Macaca fascicularis: one gene and its partners. The protein of the gene in region 3 interacts with the protein of the main gene of each other region in a pairwise test. Links are inferred from orthologs where the notes say so. Each region holds a gene or a part of one and is shown on either strand. Other genes may lie near its edges. The genes, in order: NUDT21, HMOX2 and CEP126.

Region 1 (6,613 bases), on a different chromosome or scaffold from region 3:
CATAGCAAGATCTCTATAAAAAAATTTTTTTTAATTAGCCAGGCATCGTGGCACACACCTGCAGTCCTAGCTACTCAGGACGCTGAGGCAGGAAGATTGCTTGAGCCCAGGAGTTTGTGGTTACAGTGAGCTATGATCACACCACCATCCTCTAGCCTGAGGAACAGAGTGAGACCCTGTCTCTAAAAAAAATAAATAAGCTTAGACCGCGCACGGTGACTCACATCTATAATCCCAGCACTTTGGGAGGCCAAAGCAGGCAGATCACCTGAGGTCAGGAGTTTGAGACCAGCCTGGCCAACATGGTGAAACCCCATCTCTACTAAAAATACAAAAATTAGCTGGGCATGGCAGTGGGCACCTGTAATCCCAGCTACTCTGGAGGCTGAGGCAGGAGAATCGCTTGAACCCAGGAGGCAGAGGTTGCTGTGAGCAACCATTGCTCACACTGGATATCACACCACTGCACCCCAGCCTGGGCAACAAGAGCAAAACTCTGACTCAAAAAAAATTTTTTTAAAATAAGCCCAATTGTTAACATCCTGTCAGCCTAATAGAAGTCCAAGAGTCTGACTATTCAGAATGGGAACTCTTGCTTATTCTTCCCCATCCCCTAAACTTTTTTCATTGCTACCTGTTCTCTGATTCAATTACTACAGAGAATCAATCATCAGCCAGTCTTTGCCTAATTACAGAGTGGGGAAGACAATCTAGATACACAGATTGAACATCCCAATCTGAAACTCCAAAATCTCAAACTTTTTGAGCACTGAAATGATGTTCAAAGGAAATGCTCAGGCCGGGTACGGTGGCGCACGCCTGTAATCCCAGCACTTTGGAAGGCCAAGGAAGGCGGATCACCTGAGGTCAGGAGTTCCAGACCAGCCTGGCCAACATGGTGAAACCCCGTCTCCACTAAAACTACAAAAATTAACCAGGCATGGTGGCAGGTGCCTGTAATTCCATCTACTGGGGAGGGTGAGGCAGGAGAATCGCTTAAACCCGGGAGGTGGATGTTACAGTGAGCCGAGATTACACCATTGCACTCTAGCCTGGGTGACAAGAGAGAGACGTCGTCTCAAGAAAAAAAAAAAAAAAAAGGAAATGTTCATTGCAGCATTTCAAGTTTTGTATATGGGATGCTTAACTGGTAAGCATAATGCAAATATTCCAAAACCTGAAAAAAAATCCCAAATCCTAATCACTTTTTTTTAAATTTTTTTGCATATATAGTAGATGTATATATGTATGGGGTACACAAGATGTTTTGATACAGGCATGCAATGCATAATATTCACATCATGGAGAACAGGGTATCCACCCCCTCAAGCATTTATCCTTTGTGTTACAAACAATCCAATTATACTCTTTTAGTTATTTTAAAATTTACAATTAAGTGATTACTGACTATAATCACCCTATTGTGCTATCAAATAGTAGCTAAACACTTCTGGTCCCAAGCTCTCAGACAGGGAATACTCAACCTGTATAAATATACTTCATATATACTTTGAACCAGTCCAGTTTTCAGCCCATGCATGCCCCCACTTTCATAAGTACCTAGCACCTTCAGTTCCTCAGTCATTCTGGTACTCTGCAGTGTTGGATTCTGCCTGCCTGTCTGTTGGACTAAGGTTTCTGCCAAGTTAGTTATAATTTGCCCATCTGTTTTCCAGTTTCCAAAAATTTTGCTTTTGTGAGTCTCTCATTTTGCACTCCCTCAATCCTACTGCACTTACATCTTTGTACCAGACATTACATAAATGGAAGTCCAAGCACAGTAAATGTTTAAGAGTTATAATACATTTTTAGAAATACTAGAAAGACAAACCAATAGGTCAAAAGTAGGAGAATTACAGGTGACTTTAGTTTTGTTTCTCCTTTGCTTTTCTGTGTTTGCCAAGCTTTTTGCACAGAGAATGTATGAGTTTTGTAAAGGGGGCAGGCGGCAACTGCATGTTAAAGAAGAAAACAAACATTGAAAACAACTTACAGTCTCAAAATCCTCAGTATCTATGCATTTGGCCCCAAGTCTTTACATGCAGGCATTACAATGATTTTTTAAAAGTAGAATAATTTGGGCAAAGTCTAAAAAATATGTGAAAAAAGTGAAAACACAGGCGTCTTTCTCTTTTCAAAATTCCATAGAGGCCTACTCTTGAACAAAACTACCTGCATTCAAACCTCTAGCTCTACAACACACTAGCTATATAACAAGAAGTAATTTAAACTTATTAATATCTGCTTCCTAGAGTTGTGGTGGTGATTAAAGGAATTAGCACATGTAAAGCACTTAGAACAGTGTCTAGCACAGTAATACTTAAATGTCAGTTTTTATCATTGCTGTGACACAGTTTAACATTTTAAAAATTGAAGTAAGTGTAAGTTCAACTTGTAAAAAAAATCAACATTGTACTAACATTCTGGGGTTTAAGTTGTATTTATTGAAAACTCAATATTCCAAAATAAACATCCTTTTTACAAGACATTAAAAGCCAAATTAACTATTAAGTTGATGGTATGCAAAGTTAGGTTAAACAGAAAAATACCTCTGTCATTAAGCGTTTTAGTCCTTCAACTTCATCTTCTCCTGGGTTAAGTTCACCACCAGGTCTGTATAAAAGTTAAGAATTTCAGCTTTCAACTTAATGCAATTTGGAGATAACAAAGAACACAATAAATGTTATGTCTATCAAGTCACTAAGTAACATATTTCAGTGTAATAAGGCAATCAAAACAAGTATCAAAGTGAAGGGGGAGAATATGCTTGAATTCATGTCAATTCCCCAGACTAACAGTATACAAACCCTAGGTTTTTTTCCTCTTTGTATATATTTATTTTTATTTTATTGTCGATTCAAGGGGTACATGTACAAGTTTATTACATAGGTATATTGTGTAATGCTAAGGTTTAGGCTTCTAGTGAACCAATCACCAAAACAGTGAACATAACATCTAACAGGAAGTATTTCAACTCTCGCCTCTCCCTCCCGCTCCCCACCTTTGGAGTATACAGTGTTCATTTTTTCCAACTTTATGTCCATATGTACCCATCACATAAACCCTAGTTTTAAACCAACAGAATACATAACATAGCACAAACATAAACAAAATTGCTAACCACCAGTCCATCCCAATCTCGTCTCTGGAAGCTATCTGATGATAATGGAGTCTAGAAATGCCCAGAGAGGAATGGATCATATTCTTTAGGCCTAAACAATGGGACACTTTTTCAAGAGCGCCATCTAAGTATTGGAGACCTTTCTTTTTGGTATAATCTAGTCAAATAGTTGTGGATCAAATGTTTGAGAGATGCAGGAGCTTAAATGACAAAAAAATAAACTGTTATCCACAAAAACCTAAGTCATCTTAAGAATAGGAAATGCAAATCATACCAAGAAAGAAATACCAATTGTTCTTGGTGATGCTACAATGACATCTAGACATTGATCTTGAACTCAACTATTCCACAGGGTTTCTACCAAGCTCAATCACTAACATCGACAACATATAGAAACACGCAGATTACTAGTTAGGAAAATAAACGAGCACCGCAATGGAGAAAAATTACTCGTGATTTTCTCTTTTTAAAGACATCATTAACAGCAGTGTTTGTTGAAATAAATGACCGAGGGCTAAAATTGTAGTCCACAGCTGCATAAACAGCAATCCTACTAAAAACTGTCTTGCTGTTAATTTCCAACACTACTTACAGTTTGAAGAAAGTTGTTCCCAGCTGTAGCAGTAACACATGGGGTAGCCGGTGCTCATGTACAATCAGAACCCCTTCTACAGTCCTCCTCATTCCAATTTTATCAAATTCTTCCCTCATGCGCTGAAATCTGGCTGCCACAGAGCTGTCCTTCTCATAGAGGGGCTCTTTTGTACCAAAAGTATAATTGGTAAGAGGGTACCTGTGATCCAAAGACAAACATCTAACATGAGAACTGAAGAATATAATTTACCATGACAGACATTAGCATAAAGAAACCACAGTACAAAAAAAAAGTGCATATGTTGTACTCAGAGACACAGGATTTGTACAGTTACATAACTAAAGTTAATGAGACAGTAGAGATTGGAATCTTGTTCTCTGGACTCTTAAAGCCAGAGCTTCCGGCCGGGCGCGGTGGCTCAAGCCTGTAATCCCAGCACTTTGGGAGGCCGAGACGGGCGGATCACGAGGTCAGGAGATCGAGACCATCCTGGCTAACACGGTGAAACCCCGTCTCTACTAAAAAAAAAAAATACAGAAAACTAGCCGGGCGAAGTGGCGGGCGCCTGTAGTCCCAGCTACTTGGGAGGCTGAGACAGGAGAATGGCGTGAACCCGGGAGGCGGAGCTTGCAGTGAGCTGAGATCCCGCCACTGCACTCCAGCCTGGGCGGTGGCTCAAGCCTGTAATCCCAGCACTTTGGGAGGCCGAGGCGGGCGGATCACAAGGTCAGGAGATCGAGACCACAGTGAAACCCCGTCTCTACTAAAAATACAAAAAATTAGCCGGGCGCGGTGGCGGGCGCCTGTAGTCCTAGCTACTCAGGAGGCTGAGGCAGGAGAATGGCGTGAACCCAGGAGGCGGAGCTTGCAGTGAGCCGAGATCGCGCCACTGCACTCCAGCCTGGGCAACAGCGTGAGACTCCGTCTCAAAAAAAAAAAAAAAAAAAAGCCAGAGCTTCCATGAGATCAAGCTACTCCTCCATACTTTAACTTTCAAGTGTAGATAACACTATCCTTAAATGCTTAGAGAAATGGTTATCTGAACATTAGTAATCCTCTGGTTTTAGACCATGGCTGCTATTCCAACAAGACCAATTTGGCTAATAATTAATGTCCCCCTGCATTCCTCTGACTACTAATCTAATCAGAAAGTTTTAATTATGGGTGCTAATGGCTAATCTCTTTTTTCTAAAACTAAGCCACCACTTTTCATCAACATCCCTCCAGTTATTTTCTATTTCTCTCAGTCAACTATCCTCAGATTTTTCTTGCACCACAGCCTTTCCTTTTCACAGCAACTCTTCTACTTTCTCTTTCTGTCCTCTAACCCTATTTACTAGCCTTGGGCATTTATTCTATTCAGTCTCCTTATTGTTTCCTTCTCCTCATCTGAATCTTCTACCCACCCCTTTACCAAGAATTTAAAATATGGCTCAAACTGTTAAAGACAGTTTTCATCTTGCCTAATAAGGATCAAATTTTTCTTTAAAGATACTTAAAAATTCCATACTTATATGTCGTACGCCCTTAATTAAAGCCTTACAGCAAGAAGCCTTTGAGTAAGAATTTACGCCACATTTGCCCACCTATAGTATCTATTCTACCAAAAGCCCTTGACATTAATAGTCAACATTATTGCATCTACTACACTCAGCCATTCTTGAAAGGGGAAAAAAATCAAGGTTGCCAAAACTTTAAAAATTACTTTAAGGCCGGGCGCAGTGGCTCAAGCCTGTAATCCCAGCACTTTGGGAGGCCAAGACGGGCGGATCACGAGTTCAGGAGATCGAGACCATCCTGGCTAACACGGTGAAACCCCGTCTCTACTAAAATACAAAAAAAAAAAATTAGCCGGGCGAGGTGGCGGGCGCCTGTACTCCCAGCTACTCGGGAGGCTGAGGCAGGAGAATGGCGTGAACCCGGGAGGCGGGGCTTGCAGTGAGCTGAGATCCGGCCACTGCACTCCAGCCTGGGCAACAGAGCTAGACTCCGTCTCAAAAAAAAAAAAAAAAAAAAAAAATTAATTTCAGAAGCCAAGTTCTAGGCATATGAAAAAGCTATAAAAGAATTAAAATATACCATTTCAAGGATGCTTTAAAGATTTAAAGAACATCCCCAGTAGACCCAAGGCTAAATCTAACACCATCATCCATAGCAGCGGCAGATATGCTACACAGCACGATGTGCCAGGCAATTTTTTCAAACGCTTTACATATATTAACATTTAATTCTCACAACCTGAGTTAGAAAGAATTAAGGATAGCCATTACACATCTCTGTTGCAAGAGCCAGCTCCAATATATCAGTAATGTCAAGATGAAATGTCAGAATTTTCACCTGTGAAATCAGAGTGCCAGCCCAGACATACATATTGTTCTCATCATACTGTGAGCTTCATAAAGCAGGGGCTACACCTTACTTCCTCACCACTGTATATCCAGTATTGTGCACAGTGCCTGGCACAAAGTAGGCATTCATGCAATATTTCCTGAAAGAAAATATACTGGGGAGGCCGGGTGCGGTGGCTCAAGCCTGTAATCCCAGCACTTTGGGAGGCCGAGACGGGCGGATCACGAGGTCAGGAGATCGAGACCATCTTGGCTAACCCGGTGAAACCCCGTCTCTACTAAAAAATACAAAAAACTAGCCGGGCGAGGTGGCGGGCGCCTGTAGTCCCAGCTACTCAGGAGGCTGAGGCCGGAGAATGGCGTAAACCCGGGAGGCGGAGCTTGCAGTGAGCTGAGATCCGGCCACTGCACTCCAGCCTGGGTGACAGAGCGAGACTCCGTCTCAAAAAAAAAAAAAAAAAAAAAAAAAAAAAAAGAAAATATACTGGGGAGAGCGCATTTGTTTTCAACTTAATATTAACTCAGGTGAACTTAAGTTCACAACACAAT
Region 2 (7,088 bases), on a different chromosome or scaffold from region 3:
TACAGGCGTGAGTCACCGCACCTGGCCAAGAAAATAAATTTTTATCTGAGGAATGTGAGTCCTTTTAAAATACAAGGCCCAGAGAGACGTTAAAATGAGACAGCAGGCTGGTAACCTGGCTCACATTTGTAATCTCAGCACTTCGGGAGGTCCAAGTGGGAGGATTGCTTCCAGGCATTCCACACCAGTCTGGACAACATAGGAAGACCCCATTGTCTTTGAAAACAAACAAAAAAAACCACTGGGAGGCCAATGGGGGTGGATCACTTGCGATCAGGAGTTTGAGACCAGCCTGGCCAATATGGTGAACTGTCTCTACTAAAAATACAAAAATTTGGCCAGGAACGGTGGCTCACGCCTGTAATCCCAGCACTTTGGGAGGCCAAGACCGGCGAATCGCGAGGTCAGGAGATCGAGACCACCCTGGCTAACACTGTGAAACCCCGTCTCAGGCCGGGCGCGGTGGCTCAAGCCTGTAATCCCAGCACTTTGGGAGGCCGAGACGGGCGGATCATGAGGTCAGGAGATCGAGACCATCCTGGCTAACCCGGTGAAACCCCGTCTCTACTAAAAAATACAAAAAACTAGCCGGGCGAGGCGGCGGGCGCCTGTAGTCCCAGCTACTCAGGAGGCTGAGGCAGGAGAATGGCGTAAACCCAGGAGGCGGAGCTTGCAGTGAGCTGAGATCCGGCCACTGCACTCCCGCCTGGGCGACAGAGTGAGACTCCGTCTCAAAAAAAAAAAAAAAAAAAAGAAACCCCATCTCTACTAAAAATACAAAAAGTTAGCCGGGCACGGTGGCGGGCACCTGTAGTCCCAGCTACACGGGAGGCTGAGGCAGAATGGCATCAACCCGGGGGGCGGAGCTTGCAGTGAGTGGAGATCGCACCACTGCACTCCAGCCTGGGCGACAGAGCGAGACTCGGTCTCAAAAAAAGAATAAAAAAATAAAAAAAAAACAAAAATTGGGCTGGGCTCCATGGCTCACGCCTGTGATCCCAGCACTTTGGGAGGCCAAGGCGGGCGGATCACAAGGTCAGGAGTTCAAGACCAGCCTGGCCAACATAGTGAAACCCCGTCTCTACTAAAAAAAATACAAAAAATTAGCCGGGCGTGGTGGCAGGCGCCTGTAATCCCAGCTACTCAGGAGGCTGAGGCAGGAGAATTGCTTGAACCGGGGAGGAGGCTGCAGTAAGCCAAGATTGCGCCATTGCACTCCAGCCTGGGCGACAGCCTGAGACTCCATCTCATAAAAAAAAAAAAAAAAAAAAAATACAGCAGTCAGCCATTGCGTCCTATCTGAGCTATGTATTCATATTCATATCTCTGGTGACTTTTTTTTTTGGAAAAGACATATCCTCACTCTGTTGCCCAGGCTGGAGTAAGGTGGCACCATCACAGCTCATTGCAGCCTAGGAACTTCTAGGCTCAAGCAGTCCTCCCACCTCAGCCTCCCAAGTGGCTGGGACTATAGGCACACACCACCACCTCAGACTGATGTTTACATTTTTTTGTAGAGACGGGGTCTTCCTATGTTGCCCAGGCTGGTCTTGTACTCCTGCACTCGAGCAATCCTCTTGCCTCTGCCTACCATAGTGCTGGGATTACAAAAAGTAAAAAATTCCCTGGCGTGGTGGTGCATGCCTTCAGTCCAAGTTACTTGGAAGGCTGAGGCAGGAGGATGGCTTGAGCACAGGAGTTCCTGGCTGCAGAGAACTCTGATTGCACCATTACACTCCAGCTTGGGCGACACAACCAGACCCTGTCTCAAAAAAAAAAAAAAAAAAAGTCCAGACATGGTGGTTCACGCCTGTAATCCCAGCACTTTGGGAGGCCAAGGCGGGTGGATCACCTGAGTTCAGGAGTTCAAGACCAGCCTGGCCAACATGGTGAAACCCCGTCTCTATTAAAAATACAAAAATTAGCCGGGCGTGGTGGCACGCGCCTGTAATCCCAGCTATTCGGGAGGTTGAGGAGGAGAATCGCTTGAACCCGGGGGAAAGGGGTTGCAATGAGCCGAGATCACGCCATTGCACTCCAGCCTGGGTGACAAGAGCAAAACTCCATCTCCAAAAAAAAAAAAAAAAATCATTCTGTCATTCTGGCTGCTGTTAGAAGAATGCCCATAATGCAACAGGGAGATCAGATACAAGACTGGTAACCGATGTGTCGGAGTTGAGACTCAGTTTCGCAGATTGCATTGGCAAGTGAGCAAGTGGGTGGTGCCACGATTGACAACCCTATTTCTTACATCACTGAGCGGATGTAAAAGGATTAAACCACACTGGGGAAGAAAAGTGCTCAGCCCTGAGGCACCCTCACACACCTCGGCTCTTGTGAACACTAGCGTTCCTGCCGAAGCACCCCTACTTACCCTGCTGAGCAGAGCCTGAGCCTGCAGCCTTCAGACACCTGGAGAAAGCCACATGCTCCGCCTCCCGCCCCCCGCAAGGGCGTGTCAGCTACAAGGGGCGTGTCCTCCCTAGGCCCCGCCCCGCGCTGCGTGCCAACGTTGCACCGGCCTTCGCGCCAGTCCGCTGGGCTGCGGGGACTGCGGCGCCTGAGGGAGTCGCTGACGGGCAAGCTGAGTGGAGGCTGGCTGACGGGCCACAGCGACCTGCGGCAGGTGAGCTGTCTGCGCCCTCCCGGGGCCTTCCTTCCGCCCGGCTCCTCGGACTGCGCCGCGTCCTTCGCGGGCACTGCCTCGGTGCAGGCCTTCGTACCTGGGCTCAACCAGGCCACAGCCCTCTGCGTCCCCGGCGCGGGTCTGAGGGGAGAGCGGGCAGGCCGGAAGCTGAGTGAGGCCGGGCAGAAGGACGAAGACGAGCGTGGAGGGGCTGTCAGGGGAGGGCGAAACCCCGGACGCCGCTCTCTAAAATCGTCTCCCCGGGGGCGCGGGGAGGCCTGAGCGGCTTGCTTTGGCGTCCCCGTTGGGCCCACCGCCTCCCAGCGTCACGGCCGTGCTGGGCGAGGTGACCCCCGGGGTCGTAGCTGGGGACGTCGGCGGTGCTGACAGGGGATGCCGGCAGAGATTGGAGCCCGGCTTAGCGGCTTCCCGGGCTATTGGCACTGGCCGGGTCTCTGCCCTTCCTCCAGTGCCCTTATCTCTATAGGAAGTGCCCCTTGAGTGGGTGTCGTGACTTCACGAGTGAACCCTGGTACAGCTTGGAGCAGAGTCGGACTGGGAGGGATCAAGTGTGGGGGTAGCCGGTTAGTCCGGACATGGGTTTACCTGTCACCTTCTGAGCGCAGTGCTCTGGGTGCATTAATTACCCTGCAGAAGCTGCCAGGACCTCCTTGCAGTCTTTGCACGAGGCCTGCCTGTGTCATGCCATTTAAATCGCGTCTGGGCCGGGGCGGTGGCTCACGCCTGTAATTCCAGCACTTTGGGAGGCCGGGCCTGGCGGATTGCTTGAGGTCAGGAGTCCGAGATCAGACTGGTCAACATGGTGAAACTCCGTCCCTACTAAAAATACAAAAATTAGCCTGAGGTGTTGGGGCATGCCTGTAATCCCAGCTACTCGGGAGGCTGAGGCAGGAATCCCTTGAACCTGGGAGGCAGAGCCTGGGCGACAGAGCGAGACTCCATCTCAAAAAAAGAAAAAAAAGCACTGCATAATACTTTCCACTGGAGGAAGCCCTCTCCTCTCAGCCCCTTGCAAAGCCTTGCGAGCTGATCATTTTTCCACGTGTAAAACGAGGTCAGTGTTAAGACTCAGCTTAGGCTGGGCAGGGTGGCTCACGCCTGTAATCCCAGCACTTTGGGAGGCCGATGTAGGCGGATCACCTGAGGTCAGGACTTAGAGACCAGCCTGGTCAACATGATGAAACCCCGTCTCTACTAAAAATACAAAGAATTAAATGGGCAGGGTGGCGCGTGCCTGTAATCCCAGCTACTGGGGAGGTTGATTTTGAAGGATCACTTGAGCCCAGGAAGTGGAGGTTGCAGTGAGCTGAGATCGCATCACTGCACTCCAGCTTGGGTGACAGAGTGAGACCCTGTCTCAAAAAAGAAAAAATAAATATCACAAGACAAAATTTGTGCTTACCAGGAGTTCACAGTTAAATAAGACATATAAAAGCTTACTTGGTAAAATTAGAAAAAGTTATCAGAGACAACATTTAGGTTTAAACGCTGGTGAGGGTGTGGGAATTTGTAGAGCCTTGGAAACACACACACTCATTGAATGACCTCATCTAAATGGGGATGTGAAGAGGGAAATCCTGTGATTCCTCCATTGTCTGACTTGATTTCCTTTTTTCCTTTGCTGTGGCAACATTTTGAAATGCTGTGAGTCACCAAAAGGGGGAACATGAGCAACTCTAGAAATGCCAGTGCCAATGAGTTACAGACAATAAAGCATTGACTGCCTTTAGCTCACCCCCATCAAATCTGTTGAAAACTTGTAAAATTGGACAGCTAGAGCTACTTTGATTTTTTGGTTTCCTTTTAACAGCTGACTCTCTTCACAGGACATTTGGGCTCTACATCAGGATTGCACCCAAAACTGGAATATCACTCCTCCAGGAGGGTGATATACTTTGAAAATTAGAATTGTGGGTCCAGCGCAGTGGCTCACGCCTGTAATCCCAGCACTTTGGGAGGCCGAGGTGGGTGGATCGCCTGAGGTCAGGAGATAGAGGCCAGCCTGACCAACATGGAGAAATCCTGTCTCTACTAAAAAAAAAAAAAAAAAAAAAAAAAATTAGCTGGGCATGGTGGCACGTGCCTATAATCTGAGCTACTTGAGAGGCTGAGGCAGGAGAATCACTTGAACCTGTGAGGCGGAGGTTGCGGTGAGCTGAGATCCGGCCACTGCACTCCAGCCTGGGCGACAGAGCGAGACTCTGTCTCAAAAAAAAAAAAAAAAAAAAAAATTAGAATTGTGTATTTCAGTGTAAAATTTGAAATTCAGCTTCTAAGTCCTTGGAGAGAAAACAGATTAAAAACTTGACCTAGACTGGGTGCGGTGGCTCACGCCTGTAATCCCAGCACTTTGGGAGACCGAGGCGGGTGGATCACCTGAAGTCAGGAGTTCGAGACCAGCCTGGCTAACATGTTGAAACCCCGTCTCCACTAAAAATACAAAAATTAGCCTTGCAATTTCGAGACCAGCCTGGCTAACATGGTGAAACCCTGTCTCTACTAAAAATACGAAAATTAGCCTTGCAAAAAGTAGCCTGTAATCCCAGCTACTCGGGAGACTGAGGAAGGAAAATTGCTTGCAGCCAGGAGGCAGAGGTTGCAGTGAGCTGAGATCGTGCCATTGCACTCCAGCCTGGGCGACGAGCGAAACTTCGTCTCAAAGAAAAAAAAAAATTATATTAGCGTGAACAATAAGTGGGATGCTAGCACATGCTTATAATCTCAGCTACCTGGGAGGCTGAGGCAGGAAGTTAATACTTAGTGAGCCTAAGTTTTTGGTGTCTTTGGATGCTGCTTGTTGATCTAAGGGTTTTCCAAACCTTTCTTTTTTGGTAAAATTGGGATTATGACTGGGAACCTGTTTTTGGAGTTTCTCGGGTGATTCTTGTTTGGGGTCCTTGTCTAAGGCACAGGCTGGAAAGAGGAGGGAGTGGACTAGCAGGGAAGATAGAGCGGTAAGCGAATAGAATACCTGAGGAAAGGGACGCCGGAAGAGGTGATTGTTGTGTGGTGAACTGTGCTGTCAGTGTGTATATCAGAGGCCAACGAAGTGGATATTCCCTTCACTTGGCTTAGGGAAAAAATTAATTTTTGTTTCACAAATAGATTCGTTTCCTTCCCAGGAATAGGCCTAATTACTGTCATAGTTCTCAGTAACTTTAAAAAGGCTGTGGGGAAGAATGGCATAACAGGCTGGTGTCTTGTACCCAGCCTGCCTTTTTCTTATTCTTCTTTTTTTTTTTTTTTGAGACGGAGTCTTGCTCTGTTGCCCAGGCTGGAGTGCAGTGGCACGATCTCGGCTCACTGCAAGCTCTGCCTCCCGGGTTCACGCCATTCTTCTGCCTCAGCCTCCCGAGTAGCTGGGACTATAGGTGCCCGCCACCACGCCTGGCTAATTTTTTGTATTTTTAGTAGAGACGGGGTTTTACCGTGTTAGCCAGGATGGTCCCGATTTCCTGACCTTGTGATCTTCCCGCCTCGGCCTCCCAAAGTGCTGGGATTACAGGCGTGAGCCACCGGGCCCGGCCTTTTTTTTTTTTTCTTTGAGACAGTCTTGCTCTGTCATCCAGGCTGGAGTGTGGTGGCACAATCTCAGCTCACTGCAATCTCAGCCTGCTGGGTTCAAGCTATTCTCCAGCCTCAGCCTCCTGAGTTGCTGGGATTACAGCTGTATGCCACCATGCCTGGCTAATTTTTGTATTTTTAGTAGAGATGAGGTTTCACTGTGTTGGCCAGGCTGGTCTCGTACTCCTGACCTCAGGTGATCCACCCACCTCGGCCTCCCAAAGTGCTGGTATTAACAGGCGTGAGCCACAGCGCCCGGCCTTTTTTTTTTTTTTTCTTAGCCGGAGTCTTGCTCTGTCACCCAGGCTAGAGTGCAGTGGCGCCATCTCGGCTTACTGCAACCTCTGCCTTCTGGGAGGTGATTCTCCTTCCTCAGCCTCCCGAGTAGCTGGGATTACAGGTGTGCGCCAGCACGCCCAGTTAATTTTTGTATTTTTAGTAGAGATGGGGTTTCGCCATGTTGGCCAGGCTGGTCTCAAACTCCTGACTTCAAGTGGTCCACCTACCTGGGCCTTCTAAAGTGCTGGGATTACAGGTGTGAGCGACCGTGCCCGGCTAAGGGCCTACTATTTTTTTTTTTTTTTTTTGAGACAGAGTTTCACTCTTGTCACCCAGGCTGGAGTGCAGTGCCTTGATCTTGGCTCACTGCAACTTCCACCTCCCAGGTTTAAGCGATTCTCCTGCCTTAGTCTCTGGGGAAGCTGGGATTATAGGCACCTGCCACCATGCCTGGCTAATTTTTTGTATTTTTAGTAGAGACGGGGTTTCACCATGTTGGCCAGGCTGGTCTCAAACTCCTGATGTCAGGTGATCCACCTACCTCTGCCTCCCAAAGTATTGGGATTACAGGCATGAGCCACCGTGCCCAGCTGGGCCT
Region 3 (6,613 bases):
ACAATGGTATGTTAAAATCACCTACGATGGTTAAAATTATTTTATATATTTTGAGGCTGTGTTCTTAAGTGCATATAAAAATCTTATGTATTTCTTCTGAAGTAAGACTTTGCTCATCATAAAGTGATTTTTTTTTTTTTTTGAGACGGAGTCTCGCTCTGTTGCCCACTTGGAGTGCAGTAGCGCGATCTCGGCTCACTGCAACCTCCACCTCCCAGGTTCAAGCGATTCTCCTGCCTCAGCCTCCTGAGTAGCTGGGACTACAGGCACGCACCAACACACTCAGATAATTATTGTATTTTTAGTAGAAACGGGCTTTCACCGTGTTGGCCAGGATGGTCTCGATCTCTTGACCTTGTGATCTGCCTGCTTCGGCCTCCCAAAGTGCTGGGATTACAGGAGTGAGCCACTGCACCTGGCCCAAAGTGATACTTTTTATGTCTAATAATGCTTTCTATTTAAAAGTGAATCAAAACCAGCTTTCCTTTGGTTAAAACTTGCTTGGCATACCTTTTCCATCTTTTTTTGCTTTCAGTTTTTTAATATCCTTATGTTTTAAATATATTGTTTATAAACAGAATATAGTTTCAACGTAAAGTTCCATTTAACAACCTCTTTCAACTGTACCACTTACTACATTTACAATTATTGTAAATATACTCCTACATATAATCTTACAGTATTTCTTCTATGTTTATTTTTCTCTCCTTTGTTGCTTTATTTCAGATTGATTTGTCAGCTTTTATGTGCCACTTTTCCTTCTCTACCAGATTGGAAGTTGTATATTACATTTCTAGTTCTTTAGTTGTGACTCTAGTAATTATCACAGGCATACTTCAGTTATCAATATCTAACTTTAATCTAGGACTTTACCCAATTCCCTAACAATATAAACATCCTACTATACTTTAACTCCATTTATGCCCTCTCAACTTATGTACTATTATTGATAGGTATTTTAATTCTAACCTTTTTATCTCTGAAACATATACTACTTTATTATATTTATTGTTTTATGCAGTGTTTGTTGAAATTTACTCTCTCAGACTGTCCATCTGAGGTTAACTGCACTTTCTGCCTGGTGAAGTGCGGTGAGAATTTTCTTTAGCAAGTCTGCTGTTAACAAAGTCTCTTGGTTTTTGTCTGAACATATTTTTAATTCACCCCTCTTCTTGAGAGACATTTTCATGTTAAGAAGGTATTAAATGGCTGGGCGTGGTGGCTCACGCCTATAATCCCAGCACTTTGGGAGGCTGAGGAGAGTGGATCATGAGGTCAAGAGATCGAGACCATCCTGGCTAACACGGTGAAACCCCCTCTCTACTAAAAAATACAAAAAATTAGCCAGGCGTGGCAGCGGGCGCCTGTAGTCCCAGCTACTCGGGAGGCTGAGGCAGGAGAATGGCATGAACCTGGGAGGTGGAGCTTACAGTGAGCTGAGATGGAACCATTGCACTCCAGCCTGGGCGACAGAGCGAGACTCCATCTCAAAAAAAAGAAGGTATTAAATTTGAAAGTTACTTTCTCTCAGCACATTAGACATGTTATCAATATCTTCTGAGTTTTTTTCATTGTTTTCTGCCTTTTTTGTTGCTGATTAAAATTAACTGTGATGTATCTTGTGGTAATTTCTTTTTATTTATTCTGAAATACGTTGGGTTGTTGAACTTGTAGGTTGGTATTGTTCATCAAATTGGAAAAGTTGTCAACCATTATCACTTTAGATATTGTTTCTGGCCTTTCAGGCTTTTTAATTTACTCTTTTGTGTCTCTTAAGCTCTATATCATATTTTCCATCTCTTTGTCTCTCTAAGATATATTGTGGATAAATTTCTTTGATTCGTGTTCTAGTTTACTAATTCTCTCTTCGGATGTCTGTAATCTGGTGGTTAACCCATCTACTAAATTTTATGTTTCAATTATTATATTTTCAATTTCCAGGCATTCTATTTGGGCCCTTTTTCAAATCTGTTTGTTCTTTCTTTATAGTTTCTTATTCCCTGCATGTTTAAGTTTAAAAATGACTGCATTTTTGCATTTTTTTTTTTTTTTTTTTTGAGACGGAGTCTCACGCTGTTGCCCAGGCTGGAGTGCAGTGGCGCGATCTCGGCTCACTGCAAGCTCCGCCTCCCGGGTTCCCGCCATTCTCCTGCCTCAGCTTCCTGAGTAGCTGGGACTACAGGCGCCCGCCACCGCGCCTGGCTAATTTTTTTTTGTATTTTTAGTAGAGACGGGGTTTCACTGTGGTCTCGATCTCCTGACCTTGTGATCCGCCCGCCTCGGCCTCCCAAAGTGCTGGGATTACAGGCTTGAGCCACCGCGCCCGGCCGAAAGCTTTTTTTTTTTTTTTTAGGAAAAATTCCCTCTTCCTGTGCTGCCTCCTGTGTGTGTGCATGTGTGGTGCTGCCTCCTCTGTGTGTGCATGTGTGGTGCTGCCTCCTGTGTGTGTGCATGTGTGGTGCTGCCTCCTGTGTGTGTGCATGTGTGGTGCTGCCTCCTCTGTGTGTGCATGTGTGGTGCAGAGCTCGTTGGGTGGCCCAGCTTTATGATGAAAAGATCTTCTATGAGACTACTCATCTTGAGTAGGCCTGTTCCCTTTTTCCTATGAGGCCATGGAAAGCAAAGTTCAATTTCACTCCATGAGTTAAATATCCTCAGGACAAGAGCTAGCTGCAGCACTCTTCTTATTTTTTGAGTTCTTGTCTACATTTAGTTCTTGGTCTTAAGCATTTCTTACATTCTTACTAGATCATCACTATATTGCAGATTTAAAAAATACTTAATCAAGCATTTATGGTTGTTTTGATGGATGGTCAGTATAGGTACGTAGCCTGTCCATTGCTGAAACAGAAGTCTATTCATATATTCCAAAAAGACGGGTAAGTCTGCCAAATAAGTTGACATCATCACAAATGATATGGCATACTTGAACTAGTATTCAAATATGTTCTGAATGGTTATACACTCAATTAAGTCATATGGATACATTTTGTATTTTTCCTTTCAATTTTTAAATTAAAGTTTAAATTAAAATTATCTAAGTGAAAAATGCAGTATTTCTTATAAGAGGTGTTCTTCCATACTTACAATGTAGTCTTTCATTGAGATCATTAAGGGACTCTAGGATCTTCTGTTCTTCAGCTGATAGTGTGCAGATGTTGAATTGTTGAGTTTTACTTAAAGGTAGATTTGATTTCTGTATCTGTTTGCTATTCAAGACAGTCAGAATCTCATCCTCCGGCACTGATGCTTTCACTAAGTTTTCAGCCATCAAAAACTCAGAAGTACTATCTGAAACTACAGAAACTTACATCAGTTATTCTTTGATCCCCTTTTGTCTTTGAGATCAGCCCTTATACATACTTACACATACTTAACTGTCTGTATGTATTCATATTACAAATAGAAACCTAGTAAATATCTGCTACTTTGATTTCATCTATCAGGATTCTCTATCTAGCATTTTCCCATCCTTCATTTTTAAAAAAAGGATATTGAAAATGAAAGCAGTGAGTTAATAAAAATTCCCAGAGTATGACTTAACTAAAGAAAAAAATATTTAATGTAGATAGTTTTTGTAATATGTTTATTATTCATTGGTCGTACAAAAAAGATGACAGAGACCGTTTTTATAATAGTAGTTATAATGAATTATAAAAAAGTAAGACACAAAAAAGCTTAAGGAAACATTAGAAACTTTGATGATCAGCTGAACAGAACTGACAGCCTAGAAACAGATCCAGTTAGATATAAGAACATGTGATCAAAGAAGCATCAAAGACTTGACAGAAGGGAAAGATGATTTTATAAATTAGTTGTTGCTTATAAAAGAATCAATTTGGGCTGGGTGCAGTGGCTCATGCCTCTAATCCCAGCACCTTGGAAGGCTGAGGCGGGTAGTTCACTTGAGGTCAGGAGTTCGAGAGCAGCCTGGCCAATGTGGTGAAACCTCGTCTCTACTAAAAATACAAAAATTAGCCAGGTGTTATTGTGGGCGCTTATAATCCCAGCTACTTGGAAGGCTGAGGCAGGAGAAGCACTTGAACCTGGGAGGTGGAGGTTGCAGTGAGCTGAGATTACGCTACTGTGCTCCAGCCTCGGTGACAGACTCTGTCTCAAAAAAAAAAAAAAAAAAAAAAAAAATCAATTCGTAGTTTTATTTCCCACTGTTTGTTAAAACAAATTCCAAAGACATTAAAGACAAACTTAAGGAATCAACCCATTAATTAAAGCAACCCTGAAGAAAATGAAACAAATGTTTCTGAATTTCTATATTGGGAAGGTTCTTCGACAAAGCTTAAAAGTAATAGAGAAATCAGTAAAAAAAAAAAAGACTAAAACATGTTTATTTAAAGCCAGTCTTCTCTAATATACTTTAAATTTCTGAAGAGCAATACTTTTGTATGTTTTGTTCATTATTATAAATGTTAAGTATTACTTATCCAAAAATGCTTGGGACTAGATGTGTTTCAGGTTTTGGATTTTTTTAGAATTTTGGATATTTGCACATACATGAGACATGTTGGTGATGAGACCTAGGTTTAAACATGAAACTCGGCTGGGTGTGGTGGCTCATGCCTGTAATCCTGGCACTTTGGGAGGCTGAAGTGGGTGGATCACCTGAAGTCAGGAGTTCAAGACCAGCCTGGCCAACATGGTGAAGCCTCGTCTCAACTAAAAATACAAAAATTACCCAGGTGTGGTGGCACACGCCTGTCATCCCAGCTACTTGGGAGGCTGATGCAGGAGAATTGCTTGAACTTGAGAGGTGGAGGTTGCAATGAGCTGAGATTGCACCACTGCACTCTATCCTAGGTGACAGAGTGAGACTCTGTTTCAAAAAAAAAAAAAAAAAAAAAAGAAACTCATTTATGTTTCGTATATACCTTATACACACACCTGAGGTAATTTTATGTAACATTTTAAATAATTTTGTCCATGAAACGAAGTTGGTGTATACTGAACCATCAGAAAGCAAAGCTGTCACTGTATCAGCAATCTATGTGGATGATCTGTGGTTGTCTGGCATCACTGTTATTCCTGACTCCGAATTTATATCTACTGAAAAGCAATGATGTTCTTACACCTATTCACACATAAGTACTTAACAGTAAAAAATAAGATGTATCCTTCATACCCTGAGAAAATAATGTGTTCAGAGCAACTAAGCACCACAGTAACATCACCAGAATTCCTGTGTCAGCTGTTCAGCAACAGCAACAAGGAACAATGGCAGGCTTCCAACCTTAGGTATTATGTTACATTTTGATCAAATGGTTACTGTACACTGTATTTTCTTTTTTTAGGTGAGAAGAAACATCAGAAGCAGCTGAGGCACAAGGAAGTGGGTCCTCTAGGGATGAGGAAATATTCTGCTAGATGACCTTAAAAACTGTTTCTTCCAGAGTCTTTTGCCTTAACATTTACAATGGTTTTTTTTTTTTTTTTTTTTTGGTCTTTGATTTTATAAACCGGCATAATTTCTTCTTGTTATGAGTGCATACTGCTCTAGTCGTTCAATAAACCCATCACACATTTTCATCATATTGTCAATTGGCACTTTTTTTTTTTTTTTTTGCAGTGTTAACAATGTCATTATCATCACTATTATCACAATCATCTTAATTCAGAGCTCTTTTGGCTATTTCACCATTGGTCAATGAAAACACCTGGAGTCTTATTATCGATGTTAATAACCTCTTTGATATCCAGTTCTTCCAGCTTACTGATAGACTCTCAAGGTATATTTTTTGCTTATGTAATAATGTCAGACATCATTTTTTTCTCACTTGACATATGGAATCCTTCAGTCACTACCTTGTTCATCATCATCACTGAATATAGTTGCAGGCCAGAGGTTGTGCCAGGAATGCACAATTGTGTCTTCAGTCCTGTGTTTCAAGTGTTTGCAACAGCATGTATGGCATCCTTCATGCTAAACTCATTTTGAAAACCTTCTACATCCACACCTCTGTTCACTGTTGCTGGCATGCTGTTCAAGAAAGTGTTTATATACATTTACTCTTCATCTATCTAAGGATACTCTGGTCACACGGCTGAATTAATGAAGTAATATTTGGGGGAAAACACATGGCAAAAACATTATTTTTGATGAGAATTTCAGCTGGAGGATGAACAGAACAGTTGTCAAAGAATAACAAAATCTTGCAGTCATCATTCGATCCAGCTTCCCTGATATAAAATGTTTGTGAAACCATGGCTGGGCGCGGTGGCTCAAGCCTGTAATCCCAGCACGTTGGGAGGCCGAGACGGGCGGATCACGAGGTCAGGAGATCAAGACCATCCTGGCTAACACGGTGAAACCCTGTCTCTACTAAAAAAATACAAAAAAAAAAAAAACTAGCCTGGCGAGGTGGCAGGCGCCTGTAGTCCCAGCTACTCAGGAGGCTGAGGCAGGAGAATGGCGTAAACCCGGGAGGCGGAGCTTGCAGTGAGCTGAGATCCGGCCACTGCACTCCAGCCTGGGCGACAGAGTGAGACTCCGTCTCAAAAAAAAAAAAAAAAAAAGTTTGTGAAACCAATCAGAAAAGATGTCCCTGGTGATCCATGTCCTTTTGTTAGCATATTAATGGACTGGTAAGAAATTCACTCC

The links.
Region 1: the proteins of CEP126 (region 3) and NUDT21 interact in a two-hybrid assay, tested with the Homo sapiens proteins (2 studies listed by BioGRID and IntAct). The link is inferred for Macaca fascicularis from reciprocal best matches to the Homo sapiens genes CEP126 and NUDT21.
Region 2: the proteins of CEP126 (region 3) and HMOX2 interact in a two-hybrid assay, tested with the Homo sapiens proteins (2 studies listed by BioGRID and IntAct). The link is inferred for Macaca fascicularis from reciprocal best matches to the Homo sapiens genes CEP126 and HMOX2.

The regions. Positions count from the first base shown.
Region 1 is NC_088394.1:52,507,125-52,513,737, forward strand, and holds part of NUDT21 (cleavage and polyadenylation specificity factor subunit 5), read right to left. Parts: intron 3,915-6,613; coding exon 3,714-3,914; intron 2,614-3,713; coding exon 2,550-2,613; intron 1-2,549. UniProt on the Homo sapiens protein: Component of the cleavage factor Im (CFIm) complex that functions as an activator of the pre-mRNA 3'-end cleavage and polyadenylation processing required for the maturation of pre-mRNA into functional mRNAs.
Region 2 is NC_088394.1:5,288,406-5,295,493, forward strand, and holds the start of HMOX2 (heme oxygenase 2), read left to right. Parts: upstream 1-2,531; 5' UTR 2,532-2,626; intron 2,627-7,088.
Region 3 is NC_088388.1:100,995,952-101,002,564, reverse strand, and holds part of CEP126 (centrosomal protein of 126 kDa), read right to left. Parts: intron 5,361-6,613; exon of another isoform or gene 5,307-5,360; intron 3,298-5,306; coding exon 3,088-3,297; intron 1-3,087. UniProt on the Homo sapiens protein: Participates in cytokinesis. Necessary for microtubules and mitotic spindle organization. Involved in primary cilium formation.